4 linked regions of the Danio rerio genome follow. Each later gene encodes a partner of the first gene's protein in a complex. Links are inferred from orthologs where the notes say so. Each region holds a gene or a part of one and is shown in the gene's direction. Other genes may lie near its edges. The genes, in order: cdk9, ccnt1, eaf2 and eaf1.

What was found.
Region 2: the proteins of cdk9 (region 1) and ccnt1 are in contact, whole or in part, in a crystal structure (PDB 3BLH), measured with the Homo sapiens proteins. The link is inferred for Danio rerio from reciprocal best matches to the Homo sapiens genes CDK9 and CCNT1. Residues at the interface, in NP_001252.1 of Homo sapiens: Val8, Glu9, Cys10, Pro11, Phe12, Cys13, Lys56, Glu57, Gly58, Phe59, Ile61, Leu64, Ile67, Lys68, Gln71, Leu72, Leu81, Ile82, Glu83, Ile84, Arg86, Ile99; in NP_001231.2 of Homo sapiens: Arg5, Lys6, Arg11, Trp12, Arg26, Ile72, Gln73, Phe78, Phe89, Leu90, Lys93, Val94, Pro98, Lys99, Lys100, Leu101, Val134, Glu137, Ile139, Leu141, Gln142, Thr143, Gly145, Phe146, Glu147, Leu148, Thr149.
Region 3: cdk9 (region 1) and eaf2 share a complex: the UniProt entries of both Homo sapiens proteins name them as parts of the super elongation complex. The link is inferred for Danio rerio from reciprocal best matches to the Homo sapiens genes CDK9 and EAF2.
Region 4: cdk9 (region 1) and eaf1 share a complex: the UniProt entries of both Homo sapiens proteins name them as parts of the super elongation complex. The link is inferred for Danio rerio from reciprocal best matches to the Homo sapiens genes CDK9 and EAF1.

What each region holds. Positions count from the first base shown.
Region 1 is NC_133196.1:7,407,162-7,411,886, forward strand, and holds the end of cdk9 (cyclin-dependent kinase 9), read left to right. Parts: intron 1-1,044; coding exon 1,045-1,216; intron 1,217-1,598; coding exon 1,599-1,747; intron 1,748-3,222; coding exon 3,223-3,588; 3' UTR 3,589-4,117; downstream 4,118-4,725. UniProt on the Homo sapiens protein: Protein kinase involved in the regulation of transcription.
Region 2 is NC_133198.1:38,752,351-38,757,281, forward strand, and holds the start of ccnt1 (cyclin-T1), read left to right. Parts: upstream 1-1,902; 5' UTR 1,903-1,931; coding exon 1,932-2,101; intron 2,102-2,861; coding exon 2,862-2,943; intron 2,944-3,034; coding exon 3,035-3,163; intron 3,164-4,931. UniProt on the Homo sapiens protein: Regulatory subunit of the cyclin-dependent kinase pair (CDK9/cyclin-T1) complex, also called positive transcription elongation factor B (P-TEFb), which facilitates the transition from abortive to productive elongation by phosphorylating the CTD (C-terminal domain) of the large subunit of RNA polymerase II (RNA Pol II).
Region 3 is NC_133184.1:24,619,466-24,624,171, forward strand, and holds the start of eaf2 (ELL-associated factor 2), read left to right. Parts: upstream 1-1,580; 5' UTR 1,581-1,685; coding exon 1,686-1,788; intron 1,789-2,262; coding exon 2,263-2,357; intron 2,358-2,439; coding exon 2,440-2,576; intron 2,577-2,681; coding exon 2,682-2,845; intron 2,846-4,706. UniProt on the Homo sapiens protein: Acts as a transcriptional transactivator of TCEA1 elongation activity. Acts as a transcriptional transactivator of ELL and ELL2 elongation activities. Potent inducer of apoptosis in prostatic and non-prostatic cell lines.
Region 4 is NC_133191.1:7,228,269-7,232,919, forward strand, and holds the start of eaf1 (ELL-associated factor 1), read left to right. Parts: upstream 1-1,452; 5' UTR 1,453-1,523; coding exon 1,524-1,626; intron 1,627-4,420; coding exon 4,421-4,515; intron 4,516-4,593; coding exon 4,594-4,651. UniProt on the Homo sapiens protein: Acts as a transcriptional transactivator of ELL and ELL2 elongation activities.

The sequences.
Region 1 (4,725 bases):
CAGCTAGTTGGTTTTGATGTGTTCTACATGTTGGGTTAACTTGAGAGCTTGTTGGTTCAATTCTGTGTGTAGAATTGGCATCGGCTGTCGGGCGTTGTCTGATTGGTTTTTCAGCAACAAATCCGGGTTTGAGTGCGACTTAGCAAGTAAAGAAGTCATGCCAAGAAGGGTCACAAAGAGCATGTGTAATTCCGCCGGTCCTACACCACCCAACCCGCCCCGAGCTGGTATCGATCCGGCGACCTTCCGCATGGGAGTCGGGTGCTCTACCAAGGAGGCTAAAGACCATGGCTTCTAGTGTCCATCGCTAATAGTAATGTTTACCTGCACAGCACTTACTAGCTGGCCTCCGTTACACTCAGCCCCCTAAACCTCACTCTCATCCGGGTCACGACACCTATGTAACCCTGCCAGTCCTACACCACCTAACCCGCTCCGAGCTGGGATTGAATAGGCGACTTTCCGCATGGGAGTCAAGTGCTCTACCGAGAGATTAAAGACCATGACCTCTAGCGTCTGTCGCTAGAGGACCTTTAGAGGTCAGAGGAGTGAGGTTTACCTGCACAGCACTTACTGGCTGGCCTCCGTTACACACAGCTCTAATTTCACTATATTTCCCAAGTATTTGCAAGCTATATGGATTATTAATTAGACATATTTGCACAAGCAAATCCCACCGTGGTGAGTGACTATTACTGTGATTATGGGCGCTGAACGCTGCTTTGTTTACAATTGATGCTCATTCGAAGTTTGGTTTCCCTTTGTGGAAGGAGAAAACAGATACTGCCCCCTGCTGGTGGGGAATGACATGTCCTTGCACAGATGCAGAATGTGGCTCGTTTCTGTCGTCTTTTGTCAGTTTGGTCTGGTCATGCGCAGCTTTTGCTCTAGATGGGATCCAGCACGATAATAATAGGTTTTGTTGGGTGTTGGAGTTTGGCGTCAGCTTGGTGTGTCCCGGTCTTTACATGCTTTTACAAGGCACTTTTATCCAAAGTGACTTCAGTGTTTCCAGACTCAAGTGTATTATGTGTTTTGTTTCAGATCCTCCACAGAGACATGAAAGCAGCCAATGTCCTGATCACCAGAGATGGTGTCCTGAAGCTGGCTGATTTCGGTCTGGCCCGAGCCTTCAGTTTGGCTAAAAACAGTCAGGGGAATCGCTACACAAATCGGGTGGTCACTCTGTGGTATAGACCGCCTGAACTACTGCTGGGTGGGTGAAACCACATCAAACACTTGTTACTTTTCATTTTCGCTTTGTGTTGATATTGTTACGACCGGCTCATTGGAGTCGCAACATGAAAGATCAAGCAACAAAATAGTGCAAATTATTTATTATAATCAAAACTAATACAAAAACAATGATATAAATAATGCAAAACAAACCCAAAATGTTAAGAGTCAACCAGATTCGACTTCTGATTAACCACACAGTGACCTGCCCTAGCTAGCACAACAACTCTTATATACACATTAAAGCAATTATAGATTAGTAATGCAGTCATCCAATCAGGATCTACTACATTCTTTAATGAGGTCTGGGGACTTGGGATCATCACAGTATGGATTTATTTATTTATTCTGTATTTTTGTAGGCGAGAGAGACTACGGGCCTCCCATAGACCTGTGGGGCGCGGGGTGCATCATGGCGGAGATGTGGACCAGAAGCCCCATCATGCAGGGCAACACAGAGCAGCACCAGCTCACACTCATCAGTCAGCTGTGCGGATCCATCACTCCTGAGGTACACACTTTACTCCAGTAATGTTGGAGGATCAGCTCACGCAATTGCCAACCGAAAACATACTTTTCAGATGCTTTGTCAGCTTTTTATTTTCAGGATTTTTGTGTATAATTCACCTAAATTCATTAATTTTCCTTTAGCTTAGTCCCTGATTTATCATGCCAACTACTCTGGCATGTGTTTAATGCAGCGAACGCCCTTCCAGCCGCAACCCAGTACTGGGAAAATTTCACCGAAAATTTCACTCCCTTCAGAATATACTGATTGTACCATTGGGTGCACATAGTCCTCCAGAATGGTTCGGTTGTCCTTGACAGTGACAGATGCGCCAGCGAGACACACACCAATTTGTCCTCTTTTGAACTCTGTCACCCATAATGTTGTGTGCGTTGCAATATTTTTAGAAAAAAATGCTTTTATTCTTTTAATTAAACCTTCACACTCTGCTCCTACTGGTGGAATGTGCAATCACTGGTCAAATTCAGCCATGAAACCTCCAACTTTAAATTGACCAGCGTTTCAGTTTCATTGTCCAACGTCTGTATATTTATTATGCATATGAGATGCACACACATACATAAAGACAATATTTGTTACATAGATATTTTATTCTATTACGCAGTTTAATGAAGTGTATATCTAAATATAAATAAACATTTCTCTAATATATGTATGCATATTTATGTGTTTATATTTACACAAAAAGTATATACAGTACATACATGTTATCTTAAAAGTTTTTTATTTTGGATGCAATTAATCACAATCTTTGCCCAGCACTACAGGGTATCTTAAGTATAAGTCTTAATGTCTTAAATTTTAAAAAACAAATTTAAGCCTTAAAAAGTCCTTAATCCGCTGAAATATTGTGTTGTAGGTCTTAAATTAATTTTAAACTGGTCCGAATTTTCCTCTGTCCATGTAAAGCTTTACCCAATTGGGCCAACATCCATCCATCCAAACACTAACAATATATTTTTCCAATATATTTAATGGTTTTAAGAGACGTTTATTTATTAACTCTATTTACTTATTAATGTGGTTTAATTATTTTTCTTACAATTACCTGTTTTTTTTTTTTTTTTTTTTAATTTCAGGGTTTTCACCTTTTAATTGATAGGACAGTAGAGAGTATAGACAGGAAAGTGTAGGGAGCAGAGAGAGGGGAAAGATCGGCATAGGACCGCGAGGCGGGAATTGAACTCGAGTTGCCAGAACACCAGAGTGCCATGTGTCGATGCACTAACTACTACACTACTAGCACCGACACAATGACCTGTTTGTAATGTTAAGGGTTTTAACTTGGCTATTTGAATAATATTTAGCATTTAGCCTTGTGTTGTCTGAAATTTCATTCATTGTGGTCTTAAAATGGTCTTAAAGTCTTAAATTTGTCTTGGTGAAACCTGTGTAAACCCAGCACTTGTGTTTATTGATCCGCCTGTATTTAACATCTCCATTCTGCACTGTCTCAGGTCTGGCCGGGTGTGGATAAGAAGTATGAACTGTATCAGAAGATGGAGCTTCCTAAAGGGCAGAAGCGTAAGGTGAAGGACCGGCTGAAGGCGTATGTGAAAGACCCTTACGCTCTGGACCTCATAGACAAACTGCTGGTTCTGGATCCGGCGCAGAGAATTGACAGTGATGACGCTCTCAACCACGACTTCTTCTGGTCCGACCCCATGCCCTCTGACCTCAAAAACATGCTCTCCACACACAACACCTCCATGTTTGAGTATCTAGCCCCGCCCCGCAGAAGAGGTCACATGCCTCAGCAGCCGGCCAATCAGAACAGAAACCCAGCCACCACCAGCCAATCAGAGTTCGACAGGGTCTTCTGATTAATCTGTAATTGGTCGAGGAGAAAGAGACTTATTTAAATGACTAAATATACATTTCAGCACATCTTGGCTTGGAAATCCAGGCAGATGCATAGAAATCCTGGAGTTTACCATCTGCACTCACTATTGTAATTACAAAAAATACTGATTGTGGATCAGATGAGTTCTGTTGATGAAACTTTTGATGCTTTATTATGGAGCTTCAACACTTTTGAGAAATGAGTGTATTATTGTGCTGCCCCAGTGCATTGTGGGAGAGAAAAGAAGTGTACTTAGTGTATTGATGCACAGATTGTGTTATTGGATGTGAGTCTCCTGAGAAGATGATTTTGTATTGTAAAGAGCGACACGCTACTTTTGTCTAGGAGACATTTATTTAAACCCTTCACTTCTCTTGACAGATTTTATTGTTAATTTAGCTGCTTATTTTTAAAGATGTTTTTATTTGTAAGATCACGTGTTCAGGGTCATGGTGTTTGTTACTTGTATAAGTATAAATACACCAATAAATCCTCCACATTTCCCATCATTGTTGTTGTTCGTGCTGGAATATTGGGATTTAGCTTGTGGCTAAATGCAATATAATATGAATGCAATATGCTTATATAAAATACAGTATAAATGAATGAATGCCAGAAGATTGTCATATTGACATACTGCACATTATTAAGAAATTAACTGAACATTTAATTATCGCATGCAGTGCTGAGGCTGAGAATTTTTATATTTTATAGATTGTCACAAAACCACAAAGTAAAGTTGTGCTGTAATGCATGCATTTTCTCCATTTGCTGTGTTCTTGTGATGAGGATTCTCCATCCTCTCTGCTGTCAAGCTGATAGCTGCTATTCTACTGTTCTCACATCGAGCCATATCACAATTCCAGTTTTTGTGTCAAAAAAGAGCTCTTCAATTAAAAATAAGATGTGTCACACCATTTAAGGTGTTTTTGAACTTGACTATCTTACACAGTATGTTTATGGAACCCTGGAAAGAAAATCCATAAGAAATTAGATGTCCAGGCTATTTATTTTGTTTTACTGTGTTGCATGATTATGATGCAAAGCAGATGCTATTAGCTGTTGTAGGATAATTAGTACACACTCTCAGAACATTGAACCTCTTTTAGATTTAGAA
Region 2 (4,931 bases), on another chromosome or scaffold:
CCTCTAAAAAATCTGAGAAGATACTTAAGGCAAAATATAAAAGATTTAATTTCGAATATCTTTTTTATAAATTTTGGCATTGGGTTTGAAATATAGAGTATAAAAATTCCCGCATTAAGTTAGAAGTAATAAAAACGTGACAAACGAATGAAAAGACATTTAGCGATTATATTAGCGGCATTTCAAGTTAAAAGTTCTCAGCAAACTTTTATTTTTTATAAACAGCTGAACGACAAACTTTTTCACTGATTTTATCCAGCAAAACCTAATTTTCATAAATTTTAAAGTGGGATTGATGTAAATTGTATTTTTTTTTTGTAATGAATATGAGGAATTTCCCAGAGATGGGTTGCGGCTGGAAGGGCATCCTCTGCGTAGAAACTTGATGGATAAGTTGGCGGTTCATTCCACTGTGGCGACCCCGGATTAATAAAGGGACTAAGCCGACAAGAAAATGAATGAATATGAGGAAACGGCTTTACACTTATTTTGGCATTGTCATCAACTGATGGGGTGAGGTGCAAAATGTTTAATAACAATTTTTAGTGTTCTAAGCCTCTCTTATTATTGTGGGAAAATGTACTTTTTGGCTTTACTGTTGACCCTTGAAAAGAGGAAATTGTTTTTATTTAACTAATTTACTTATATTATTGGTGGCGCAGTGGATAGCGCTGTTACCTCACAGCAAGAAAATTGCTGATTTGAGTTTTGTGGAGTTTGCATATTCTCCCTTGTGTTCATGTGGGTTTCTTGCAGGTGCTCCGGTTTCCCTCACAGTTAAGACATGCGCTATAAGTGAATTGAGTAAGCTAAACTGGCCGTAGTGTATGTGTGTGAATGGGAGTGTATGGGAGTACTGGGTTGCAGCTTGAAGGGCATCCGCTGCGTGAAACATATGCTGGATAAGTTGGCGGTTCATTCTGCTGTGGCGACCCCAGATTAATAAAGGGACTAAACCGAAAAGAAAATGTAGATGTTAAAAAAAAATTATATTCATAAATTTTAACATTTATGTTAAAATGTTAAAATGTTATATGCTGTTCTTTAAATAAAAATAAATAAATAAAGCATGTCTAAAATGACGTTGATATGAACAAAATATGCCATGTATTCAACATAAGAGGAGGAATTGCAGCTGTTTATTGATATTACGGACGTCTCGATTAAAACTGCACTGTAAAAATGCAAAAACAAAAAAACCTCCAGACGCCCATTACACAGCAGCAGCAGGATGTCTATGAAGAGTTTATTTGCAAAACTGATACCTCCATTTTATAGAAATATTATGTTTTTTAATGTGTATTGAAGAGTACAATTGCAAAAAAAAATTCTATATTTATAGAAATAAAACTCTTGATATATCACCATTTTAAAATATACAGTAAGACTGTTTAGAGATGGTGTCAATTTGACTGGCCACCCAATGGATGCAAACACAATGAAGAGAGATAGTACTATATTCCAACTCATTATCTGCATTATATGATTTTTACAGTAATTAAAGAGATCATCTTTAAGACAGGAGTTTCTGTATGAAATTTGTACAACATTTATGCTAAATTGAAAGCATAACAAAGATTTATGAATACATCCTCATGTAGAGAAGTAGAAGTAAATGAGTTGGCAGATAAGCTGACTTAAACTTGCTCTGAGAAATGCTGTCAAACACAGTTTTACTTCATATATATATATATATATATATATATATATATATATATATATATATATATATATATATATATATATATATATATATATATATATATATATATATATATATAAGGGTTTTGATTAGTAAATTTGCATCAATGTATGTTTGTACTGTTCAGACGTGAATGGGTTAAGTCTAACAGCGCCGCAGTCGCATTCCAGCCAGCGATGACGCGCTTCCTGTGACGCAGTGAGATTTTAAAACATTGTCCTTCTCAGTAATGGCGGCTTCGTTCCCTTCGCCTTCGCAAAATAACAATAAATGGTACTTCACGCGCGAACAAATCGAAAACAGTCCATCTCGCCGAGCGGGACTTGATCCCGACAAAGAGCTCTCGTACCGACAGCAAGCTGCTAACCTGCTGCAGGACATGGGACAGCGGCTCAACGTGTATCTTTTTCAGTTAGGCAGGCGTCGGTCTCGGCAGCTGCTCCGAGGAGGCTGACGCCGGTTTGGGCGGCACGAGTGGTGTTGAATTTCAGCGTTATAATGACCTGAAACGGGTCTACCAGTATACACGCCTTTTCAATTGTGAAACTTGTGGATTAAGGCGAACGGAATAAAGGATTAATGTCCCAATTTTGCGTTTATTTTTTGGTTTGGTGTAGGCCTCAAGGCCTAACTGGAGGTGTCTCTGCCATTGAACAATAGCGTAGCCGGTGTCACAGCCATTCCCAATATGAATTTGACTCTGTTTACTTCATTACATCATTTGTTTATACTCTAAAATGAGGCGTTTATGTCATTTATGCCATTTCAAATATATATGTAAATATAGTAATCAGCATAGTTTCATTTTCCCTTTTCAGGGTGGCTCTGTTACAGTAACATGACATTTAAGTTAGTATATAGAGGAAATATGAGCTGTCCTGCTTTATCTTATGTTACTAATGTGCTTTAGATTAATGAAAACCAGCCATTTTCGTCTTATTTGTCGTTCTGAGTACTTTCACTTTTAACTTTACTGGTGCTAAAGGGTATCAAATGAACTGGCAATCTCTCTTATTGAAATAAAAATACCAGAGGCTTAGATAAAACGAATCTGTGACTGACAAGGTCATATTTTGCATGATATATTGGACAGAAGTGCCTTCAGACTGTTTATTTTTGTTATTTTAATGAATTACAATCCTTAACTTTGGACACTCAGCTCACAACTCACAATTAACACTGCCATTGTGTATATGCATCGCTTTTACATGGTCCAGTCCTTCACTCGCTTCCACCGGAATGTATGTGTCTTCTTTCATATACGCGTTTCAAATAAAACATGCTGGCTGCATTGAACAAGATAATAATCTCTTAATGTCCCGTGTTGTTCAGGTGATTGCTCCTGCAGCTCTGTTTTTAGCAGCGAAGGTGGAGGAACAGCCCCGTAAGCTGGAGCATGTGATTAAGGTGACCCATGCATGTCTCAATCCTCAGGACCCATCACCGGACACCAGGAGTGATGTAAGTAATACTGTACTGTATATGGATTATGGCCTTAAAAACATTGGTTTTGTCTACGTTATTTGTTTAAATGTTACTTGATCTTTTGGGTACACTTCATTTTAAGGTGTTAGAGTTTAGTTGTATTTAAGTATTGACTGATGGAAGTTAACAACTGTGTATTTACTATAGGGTTTGAAATAGAGTTTTGGCTTAGGGTTAGTTGCATGTAGTTTTGCATTTTTTGTACGGCATTGAATTCGTTTCAGTTATAAATTTTAATACTAAACTAAAAAACTGAAACTAAAGTAAATGATAATAAAAAATGTTCTTTGGAGTGAACTTGCTTTAATTTTTCAGAGTCCTGAGTGAGTGCTGTTTTTTTCACCTATTTTTGTTTCTGAATGTAACTATTTTGTAGTTGTTTTATCTAAATTATTTAATTGACCAACAGTTCATAACTCCATGATACCAGATCAGACAAGTTTCTATCGACTAATCAAAATATCCATTTTAGGTACATTTACATGACAATGGTCTACTAAACTCAGATTTATTTCCTTCGTTGAAAAAAAAGAGCTGCTCCGGCAATACAACCGAAAATGTCATGATCGGCTGATACCAAGTACCAATTCCGATGCTTGTTTACCTGTGCCATTGCATAAAGCACCTTTCCCCAAGTATGACACTTTAAGGCTGAATTATACTTCTGCATTAGTGATTGCCATAACCCATGGCACATATCTTGCATTTAGTCATGCTTTTATATTTCTGGTTTCTGTTAGTGTTGCGCTGACTGTAACACTACCGAAACGCAGGCTGGCAGGGGGGATTCTATATTTTTCTGTGCCGAGTTTCTTCACGGGTGTTTTGTTTTTACTGGAAATACTTTTAATGCAAACTCACTGTACAAGTAGCTCAAACTCACTCATTCAGAGGTTAAGAACCAGCAGAACTAAGCATGGACCTAAGATTCTGACGGTATAAAAACCTAGGGTAAAAATATCACTGTATTGTGACTACTGCTCTAAAATCTATTCTTTCTTTAGGGTAATGTCTGGGTAAAAAACTTTTGAACACATTATTTTTTATTTTGAGAAACATTTAAAATATTTTGGTGCAGTAAACATGTCATGCTAAATTAATTATTCACTTGAGCTGTCTTCATTTGCTTCAAAAACAGATTTTTTAGCAATTTAAAATGGCGTCTTCAGATAAATATTCTCACCAGGAGATTCTGTTGCCCTAAAAAAACAAACAAAAAAAACGTAAAAAAAGAAATCGTACACATCTCTTAGGAAAATTTTGATGGTTTTAAAACCTTGACCTTTTAAAACCGCGGTAACCTTGAAAACGGTTATCGTCCCATGCCTACGTGTAACAACTTTAATCATAAACACAAAACAAATATCTTCATCTAGAGCTTCTCCACAGGGACTCAATATTTGTTAAACACTCACGCCAAGGAGCTCGCTCCTCTCCTGCAACTCTCGGCCCCGATCACAATCATCAATGCTATCAAGCCAAGCGGTCACATATCTTGCACTATGCATTGGCGTAACATGTAGTTAAGTTTTTTTTGAGAGGTGCATTTAAGGGTTGGCAGTAGCGAAGGGTATGACTCTGTGTGCGCCAGACCAATTGCGTGCACTCACCTAGGGCTGCACAATATATCGTTTCAGCATCGATATCACAATGTGCGGATCTGCAATGTTGAGTCAGATTTATAGTTAACCAGGAGACACAGAACACATGTGATTGTAGAGTCTCTGCAAAGTTGTTGTTGTTT
Region 3 (4,706 bases), on another chromosome or scaffold:
ACAGAAGAGAGAACAGCAATCCTGTAATGACTCCCCTGACGGCCATTACTTAGATAATGCAGTCGGTGTGGACAGGAGCCCTGAACTCAGCCAATCATTTAATGGAGAACAATAATCATCTGTCCACCACTGCTGACTAAACTAAAGTCTTGTGTGTATCACCAGCCCAGGGACACCGCAAACATACACTTACAGAAGAAACAAAAAAGACCACTGGTAAAAACAAAAAGTCTAATAAAAAACATTTTTTAATTCTTTTCTAATTACTGAACACCTTTCTAATCATTTCCTTTCTTTGCAAATTATGAATTTCACAAGGCTACATCTATGATTTCTGAAGCTGGTAAATAAATATGTAAGAGCTGTAAAATAAATCATAATAAATGTCATGTGTGACCTATAATTTGTGCAGAAATGGAAATGTTTTCATTGATTCTACATCATTACTTGATTCATGGTCACACACTTTTTTCAAATGCAATTATATATAAAGCTACAAGCATTTACAGATGGAATCTAAAACTCAGCATCAGATCAGCATAAAATACAGAATCTCTAATCTAATCTAATGACAAGTAGTGTCAGACTTCATTTTCACCCCATCATATTAGATCTCAAAGGATGTTTTTCTTTGTTTTACAGACAGTCACCCAGCAACCTGCTAATTCCCTACATCACATGCTCCCGCTGAACCAATCTCCATCTCTATTGAGGTTTTCAGAAACAGTGGACTTCATGGAAATAGTTTTACGTTTAAGATGAATGACACTGAAGATAACCTAGTATACGGTATTCCGTGAACATTAAACTGAAAATAACAAATACTTAAGCTGACAGAAAGCTGGTTAACCCTCGCTCAAAATATGAAGTGAACGGGACAATTCATTTATTTAGCCTCCGCTTCGTTAATGAACGTGTCACTTTTACAACCGACTCATTAATATAAAGATACAGGAGAAATGACAGTGTAGTGTATGATCATACTTACATTAGATATTTGTTTTAGTAGAGTTGACATGTCGACGGTCTCTCTCCTCCACACACGCGCTGCTCGTAAATGAATCGGCGACCTCTAGATAGCAGAAGACCCCATATAACGTTACTCTCTCTGCGTCAATGCAAACAAACTGCACGATTTTATTAAAGAAACAAAACATATTTGGGGGAAAAGAGAAAACGATTCCAACACAGCAAGGCATATAATCTATTAATATAATTTAATATTTTATGAGGAATTATGATTTTATTGTCTGTGCTAATGAAATTACCCGTTTGGAACATACCTTAAAATATTTATTTTAGACCCAAACTACGTTTCAACATGTCATTTTTATTTTTTCTTAACTGACAAGACTTTTTTACTTGTCATCGTTAACTGCACAAATACAAATAAGCATTCTTAGGGAACACTAGAGGGCACCAGTGCAGTCGTGTAAACGCGTGTAAGGGAAAAGATGGGCACTTCCGTCAAACGTTACGTCAGCGTCGACTGATTGTCTTCTAAACCAATTACAGACAAGAAGTGAACGAAATGAGGCGTGACCAAGTGCAGTAACACAGCCAATCCCAACGTAGCAAGCGTGAGCAACGGGTCCAGAAGTGAGGCGTCTATTTCTGCCTTAGATGGTATCAAACCAAGCAGAAAGTTGAAAATCGCTAATATATGGTTGAAAATTTGGATTAGAATGAATGGAACAGCATATTCAAACTTTGACAGTCAAGAACACGTCCTCAAACTAGGCGAAACTTTTGAGAAACAACCTAAAAGTGCATTCCACACGGTACGATGTAAGTTGCATCTTTTATATTGCTAGCGGTATTTCAAAATGATCATATAAACACGATAATGTGAGTCATATTTTGAAAAAGAAAACGAGGTGTTTTTTAAGTTAACACCGAAACCATATATTGTTTTCAAAGAAAACGCACAGGCATATCAGGAGGCAGCTATGTGCTTTTCCACCTTGCTGGCTTAAACTCGGCTTTGTATGTTGTTTGGGGATCATTTAAAAAAGCATCCTGTCTTTGTGCTCACAACGAAAACTATTATAAATAAACAGCCTTTTTTGTTAGTCGAAAACTTGTCGTTTTAATGAAATTTTGAGAGCCATTTAATTCATGAAGAATAATGATCTTTCATGGGAAACACGCGCCCTCTGTAGGTTCTGCAATGATACTACGATGTTTGTTTTACTGTGTACTGTACGTGTCAGTAATAATAGCACACCTGAATATCAAGAAATATGTTCTTCCTGGACACAGATGATTTCAAACCAGCCTCCATAGACACTACATGTGAGGGGGAGCTGGAAGTGGGAAAAGGAGAGCAAGTTACAATCACATTACCGAACTTGGAAGTAGGTTTCATAACCTTACATTCTGAAGTGTACGTAAAATGAATGATTCTTGAGTCTTTTTCTCTCCAATCAACCCTTTCAGGGATCCACAGCACCAGTTACTGTATTTAAAGGCTCTAAAAGGCCTTATATGAAGGAGTGTATTCTGATTGTTAACCATGACACAGGAGAGTATCGTCTGGAGAAACTCAGCAACAACATTGCGGTCAAGAAGACCAGGTAAAAACACTTTTGAGTTTCAAGTCATATAAATATGATGCTTCCTTCTAATCCTTTGAATTGTATGTGAAGTAAATAAATTGTCAAATTCTCTTTTCTGTCCAGGGCTGAGGGAAGCAGTAAGATTCAGTCACGGCTGGAGCAACAAACCAGCAGACTCAGCCAGCAGATGAAGACGGGTAGCGGAAGCAAGGCTCCATCCAGCACCAAGAGCTCTCCTCCCAAAGAAAAGATGTCTCCATCATCTCCTATGGATGATATTGAGCGAGGTAACATGTCTGGTCCAAATTAAAAAAAAAAAAAAAAGATTCCTGCAACAAATCATCAGTTTCACATCCATAACTGATCCACATATTATATTGATTCATGGTATCTTCCGTCCATTCCATATCTGTTTTTAAACCGTTTGAAAAAAAGGGAAAACTTTTGGCTCTTTTTTTTTTTTTTTTTTTTTTTTGGGGTTTATTGTAGGAAAATGGATACTACTTTTAAATTCATTATACACATGTAGGCGATGTTGAAACGCCCTTTTTCATCTGACGAATGAAATCTGAGCTCATCACGTTGTCTTCAAAACAATAGTCCTATATATATATATATATATATATATATATATATATATATATATATTTAAAATAAGAGGAAATAAAAATGTAAAAAAAACTAATGGTATCTTTTGTTATAGCCCTAGGGCCCAATGTGTTCTTGTTCTGGTCCTGCTAACAATTATTTAAAAAACTAGACAATAAAAAAACACAAAGTAAACAATAATATTTATTATAAGCCTACTACTATTATTATTATTATTATTATTATTATTATTATTTAGGCCTACAGTAGCTCTGAAACAATAATGCAAACTAGGTTATGCTCAGAAAAGGCTATCTTTACTCGGCATCAGGCGCACAGCAGCAAGACGTTTTGCTACGAACTATTGCCTTCTTTTAATGACATGTGTAACTATACTGCTAATTTATGTTTTTATTTAACTTATGCATACGCAATGAATGTAAGCCTGCTAACTGATTAAATACTAGGATATTTAAACTTAGTTTATATATAAAATAAATAATAATGATAAAAAGCCTGGGTGCAGATCCTCAGAGGACTATTATTTTGAGGGCGACGTCATGAGCTTAGACTTGGTTAGCCAATCAGAGGAAAAAGGGCTTTCAGCACTGCTTACATGTGTTTAATGAATTTTAAAGTCATTGATCCGTTTTCCTCCCCTAAAATAAAAAATGAAAATCCAGCCAAAATGTAGGTTTTTGTGAGCAAAAGAAAAACCAAAAAACATCCGTTTTCCGTTTTTTTTTTTTTTTTTTTTTGGAAACGGATATGGAATGATTGGAAGAAACCCTGATTATACTGCAAGCCTGTGGTCTCAAATGACTGTGATTTAGTTATTCTAAAAGAAATCTAATGCAAATTGTGGAGATATAAACATAATACAATGAAATGACAGTTAAAGTGTTTCCTCATTTAACAATAATTATGATGGTTGTGATCGATTTAGTGTAATAGTCCTGGATTATTAAATCTTTTTCAATTTTGTCCCTCAAAACCATCTGAACCTAGTAAGTACAGTTCTTAATGTTGCTGTAGAGGTATTACAAGGTTATAACACAACTTTATATTTTTTCCTGGTCTTGAAATATTGAAGGAGACAACCATAAAAAAAAAAAATTAATAAATCATAAAAGTGCATTTTTTATACTCATTTTCTCTAAAAAAAAAAAAAAAAAAAAAAAAAAAAGTTTGATGGATGGATGAATAGATAGATGATGAATGGATGGATGGATGGATGGTTGAATAGATAGATGATGAATGGATGTAGATAGATGAATGGATGGATGGATGGATGGATGGATGGATGATTTAAAGTGGGGAAAAGTTTCCAAAAGTGGGGGTCGGACCCCCTGGAGGGTCGCAGGACAATGAAGGGGACGCTTGATGATTTCCAAAAGTCAAATAAATTTAAATAAACTTTTAGAATTACCATATTTTACACGTAAGCCATCAGCCTTTAAATTATTTTTTAATAGGACTGGTGTGTTTATTTTAGATTAACAACATGGCAATAGTGTCAGCTGCAGCAGATGATTTTATAGCACCAGGTTAAACTTTCTG
Region 4 (4,651 bases), on another chromosome or scaffold:
AATCCTGGAGCACCTTGACCTTGCTTACTTTTAGGAACTTTGACGTGAAGGCTGAAGTATGAGAAGAAGCGCTATCCTGCTGAAGAATTTGCCCTCTCCTGTGGTTTTTAATGTAATGTACAGCACAAATGTCTTGATACCTCAGGTTGTTGATGTTGCCATCCACTGCAAATCTCTTGCACGCCCCTATACTGAATGTAACCCCAAACCATGATTTTTCCTTCACCGAACTTGACTGATTTCTCTGACAATCTTTGATCCATGCTGTTTGCAATAGATATTCTGCAGCATTTTTGATGATTTAAATGCAGATCAACAGATGATTCATCTAAAAAAAAATAAAATAATAATCTACCTTCTGCCACTTCTCCAAATGATCAACTAGAAGTGAGGTATTATTTGTTGCTCTTACAACTGGGCTCGACGACAGGACTGTCAGGTAGTCAGTGTACTTTATTTTGCACCACGAACGTGAGTTATTTCAGTTAGGTTGCAGAAGTGTAACTTACCTTTGCGTACTGCTCCTTGAGGGGTGCAGACAGTCTGAGAATACAGCACATCTCTGCAGTCAGTCTGAAATATAAAATAAAAGCATCTTTATTACCGAGTTTAATCTGTTCACGCGACAGGGCTATAGAGAACTAGAGAACTTACCTTTTCTGTATTAAATCTGTCACATAGTCCTTTCCTGACTTTCGCTTCCCACTGAATAACAGAATGATGCTAGGTTGTGTAGTTGCCATGGTTGTAATTACATGTGATGTGTACTTCATACTCGTGTACACAACTGACACATGTCGAGGACTACAGCCTTCAATATGAATCAGGAACCGCTTTATGTCGCTTTACCGTAACTACCAAAAAAATGTAACCTAAAAATAATATAAGCGTCTTTGGTTCTTCTGTTTGCTTAACTATTTTCTTTATTTGTGTTACTTTAAAACTTTATTGGCGTATGCGATGTTTTTTCTGTCATCTAAAAGGATATCTAAGTGAAATGTGGAAGTGTGGAAACAGGATGTTTGGTGTTTTTGTGTAGCTACGGTAATCGGACGAGTGTCACGCCATCAACTTACTGGGTATGTGCTAAATATATTTACATTTCATGTAAATAAGTTACCAGAGTGTTTTTAATTTATGCAGATATTTAAATAGTATCAGAAAAAGTTCAATAAAATAATAATCTTACATTGTTTACGTATTTATAAACACTTTTTTTCACTGACCCGGAAGTGAAACCACAAAAACGTTTGTTTCTGTATTTCATTCTTATTTGTTATTCCCCAAGTGCGGTTTATAAAGGAAATTATTTTTTAAGTGATAAAACTTGTATTTTTAAAAGTAAAATAAACCAAACATCTAAGGTGAATGCGTTATTTTTGGTTTCTGTGACCCGGAAGTTTTGAATCTGTCAGGATTGTTTTGCTTTTAGCGTCTTCTCCTTTTGTCTTTGTTTACATGTGGATAAACCGAGGATTTTTTCATTTTGGGTGAAGTTGGTGAATTCAATGTGACGCGCAGTGATGAACGGCAGCTCGAACCCGCCGCTGGATAAAGAAGAGCATGTGTTGAAGCTCGGGGACAGTTTTGAGAAGAGACCAAAATCATCCTTTCACACCATCAGATGTGAGTCCATCAAGAGAGACATAACATGCGTTATTCAAAGTATATCCCAACTAGAAATTTTCAGTTCTCTACATGCTCTAAGCATATTACCAAGCAATGTTGCATTACTGTTTTCCGCGGGTAGTTTTGTTTTAGTTCCCAGAACATTCTCTTAAAACAGTGCTCACCAAACTTGTTTCTGGAGGGCCGGTGTCCAGCAGATTTTAGCTCCAACCCTAATCAAACACACCTGAACAAGCTAATCAAGGTCTAACTAGGTATACTTGAAACATCCAGGCAGGTATGTTGAGGCAAGATGGAGCTAAACCCTGCAGGGACACCGGCCCTCCAGGACCAGGATTGGTGACCCCTGTCTTAAAAGATAGGAAAACATTTTCTATAATAATATTAACCACATTCGCACACCTTCAAATCTAATACTTCTTTGCTAAAAGGAAATAGGCCAATAAACCACTTTTTATAGCAATACGTTTATTAAAAAAAAAGTTATATTATCAAATATTCATCTTAAAAAATATTTTTTGTTTTAGTAATGTAATTTATTCAGCCAGGATTTAGTGAACTCACAATATTTTGTAAAAAACAGAGAAATTATTTCAGTTCTTATATATATAAAAAGGCCTAAATAGATGCAAGGTCATTCAAATATTTTGCTCTTCTCTGACTAACACACAGGTGTCAAACTCAGTTCCAAAAAGGCCGCAGCTCTGCACAGTTTAGTTCCAACCCTAATTCAACACACCTGATCAAACTAATTGAGTCCTTCAGGCTTGTTTGAAACCTACAGGTAAGAGTGTTGGAGCAGGGTTGGAACTAAACTGTGCAGGGCTTCGGCCCTCCAGGAATTGAGTTTGACACCCCTGGACTAACACAAATACTTGCGACTGGTTCATGAGATCAGTCAGGGGTGCGTTTCCCAAACAATGACGTAACTCGCGGCTTCATCATGTGATGCATAGTTTGGGAAAAGAACAATTGAATGTAGTGACGAGTGTTTCCCAAAACCCATAGTTTCTCTGTCACAGATCCATCGTTTGAACCATGGTATTAATAACGTAAAATGCCCATAATGATGCTGTAAATGGCGTAGAGTAACTACTTCTTTAGAGAAAAACCCATCATTTCTTTGTGCAAATTATTTTGTTTTACACAAACACGCATTTAAAAAAAATCCAATATTAGGTTAGGTAAAAACATGCACTTGTTTTCCATAGTAACTTAAATATATGTAAATTGAACATACAGGGCATGTGATTCCTTTACAAATATTATTAAGAACATTACATATTCTATTGTAAGACATAAAACCACTTAAAAAAGCGAAAATGCATTTTGATATCATATATAAATAAATAAATAAATAAATAAATAAATAAATAAATAAATAAATAATGAGGCTATTTATTGAGAAATGAAATTTTATATTCATTATGTATTAAAAAAATATACCACTTTAATAAAATTAATGATAATGACAATTATTATTATTATTAATAAGTAGGATATTGTTTGCTTATTTATTTAAAATTTTTTGAAAAGTCTACTTTTACAATTTGACATGAGAACCACAACAGAAATGTGCTAATCAACAGGCCCTTGTCATATACAGTACAGATACTTAATAAATTACCCACTATAAATTAAAATCTTTAACGCATGCTGTGTTTTTTGTTTTCACAAGCTTTGGAGACGTAACATAAATTCTGCTTTTAAATAATAGGTCACCTATAGCTTTAGTCATGAGCCGCGGCTGTGTTCAAAATGACATCAATGTTTTCAAAGTGCACTGCGGAGGGACACAATTGTCAATTTGAAAATTTTTAATACTGTGTTCACACCAGACGCGGAATGCGCGTCAAGCGCGAGTGATTAACATGTTAACATTCGCGCCGCGTTAACCAATCAGGAGCTTGCCTTGTGGGGGCGTGATTGTGACGTATCTCCTGTTGTAGGTGTCCCGGGGCTGTTTTTCAGCCTTCATAAACACATAAACACTGTTATTTTCTTCATAAAATCCATGTTAGCCATTTAGCAACAAAGCTACAGTCACCGGGCAGACAGAAGCCCTGCCTATCACGCGAATACGCGTCTGTTCTGAAGTGAATTTGACGTGCGAATGAAGTGGGGTTTGACGCTCGAATGAAGCCAGTAAACTCAAATGTTCACGCGGCTATTTACGTGCGAATAGCGCGATTTATCCGCGCGTTCCGCATCTGGTGTGAACGCAGCATACTGAACTGAAAAAATAGTTTGAAAGCAAATTATACCTAAGAGGAATGAGCTTAATGCTTTTTTAGTCATTCCAATTTTAAATATTAGAATGTTTTAAATGAAATGGGCATAGGGGGGATAGCTGGGAATAGCACACAGCCAGGAACTATGTTTCTAACTACAGCTCCAGAGGTGTAGTTGCAAGCATACAAGTTTACAACGCAGTTTGCGAATGTTTGTTGGAACGATGGATTTGGGAAACGGCTAATCATTGAAGTATGTTTGTAACGACTTTAGTTGGCTAACAATGATTTTCGGAAACGCACCCCTGATCAGCAAGTACCGATCGAGTCATTAAATGTGATTATCAGCCAATCGAAGCCCCCTACCTAAAACCAAGGCATAATTATAGAATTTAGTTTGTGAGAATGAAAACAGGCACAAAAAATTGTAGTAATGAAATGCATTGATTTTATTATTTTAGTAAAGATACATTTATTTCAATTAAATAAATAAAAAGAGAATGAAAAACTAGCTTCATTGTCGTACTGTACGTTTACAATTGTGTGCTATTCCTCCACAGATGATTTTAAACCAGCGTCTATCGATACGTCCTGTGAAGGAGATTTACAAGTGGGAAAAGGAGATGAGGTTACCATCACTTTACCACACATACCAGTAAGAGCAGCGTTCTCTTTAACATTTATATCCGCTTATGTATGACAGCCTTTCTAGAATACTCTGATTTCTCTTTAGGGCTCCACTCCACCAATGACGGTGTTTAAGGGCAACAAAAGGCCTTATCAGAAAGACT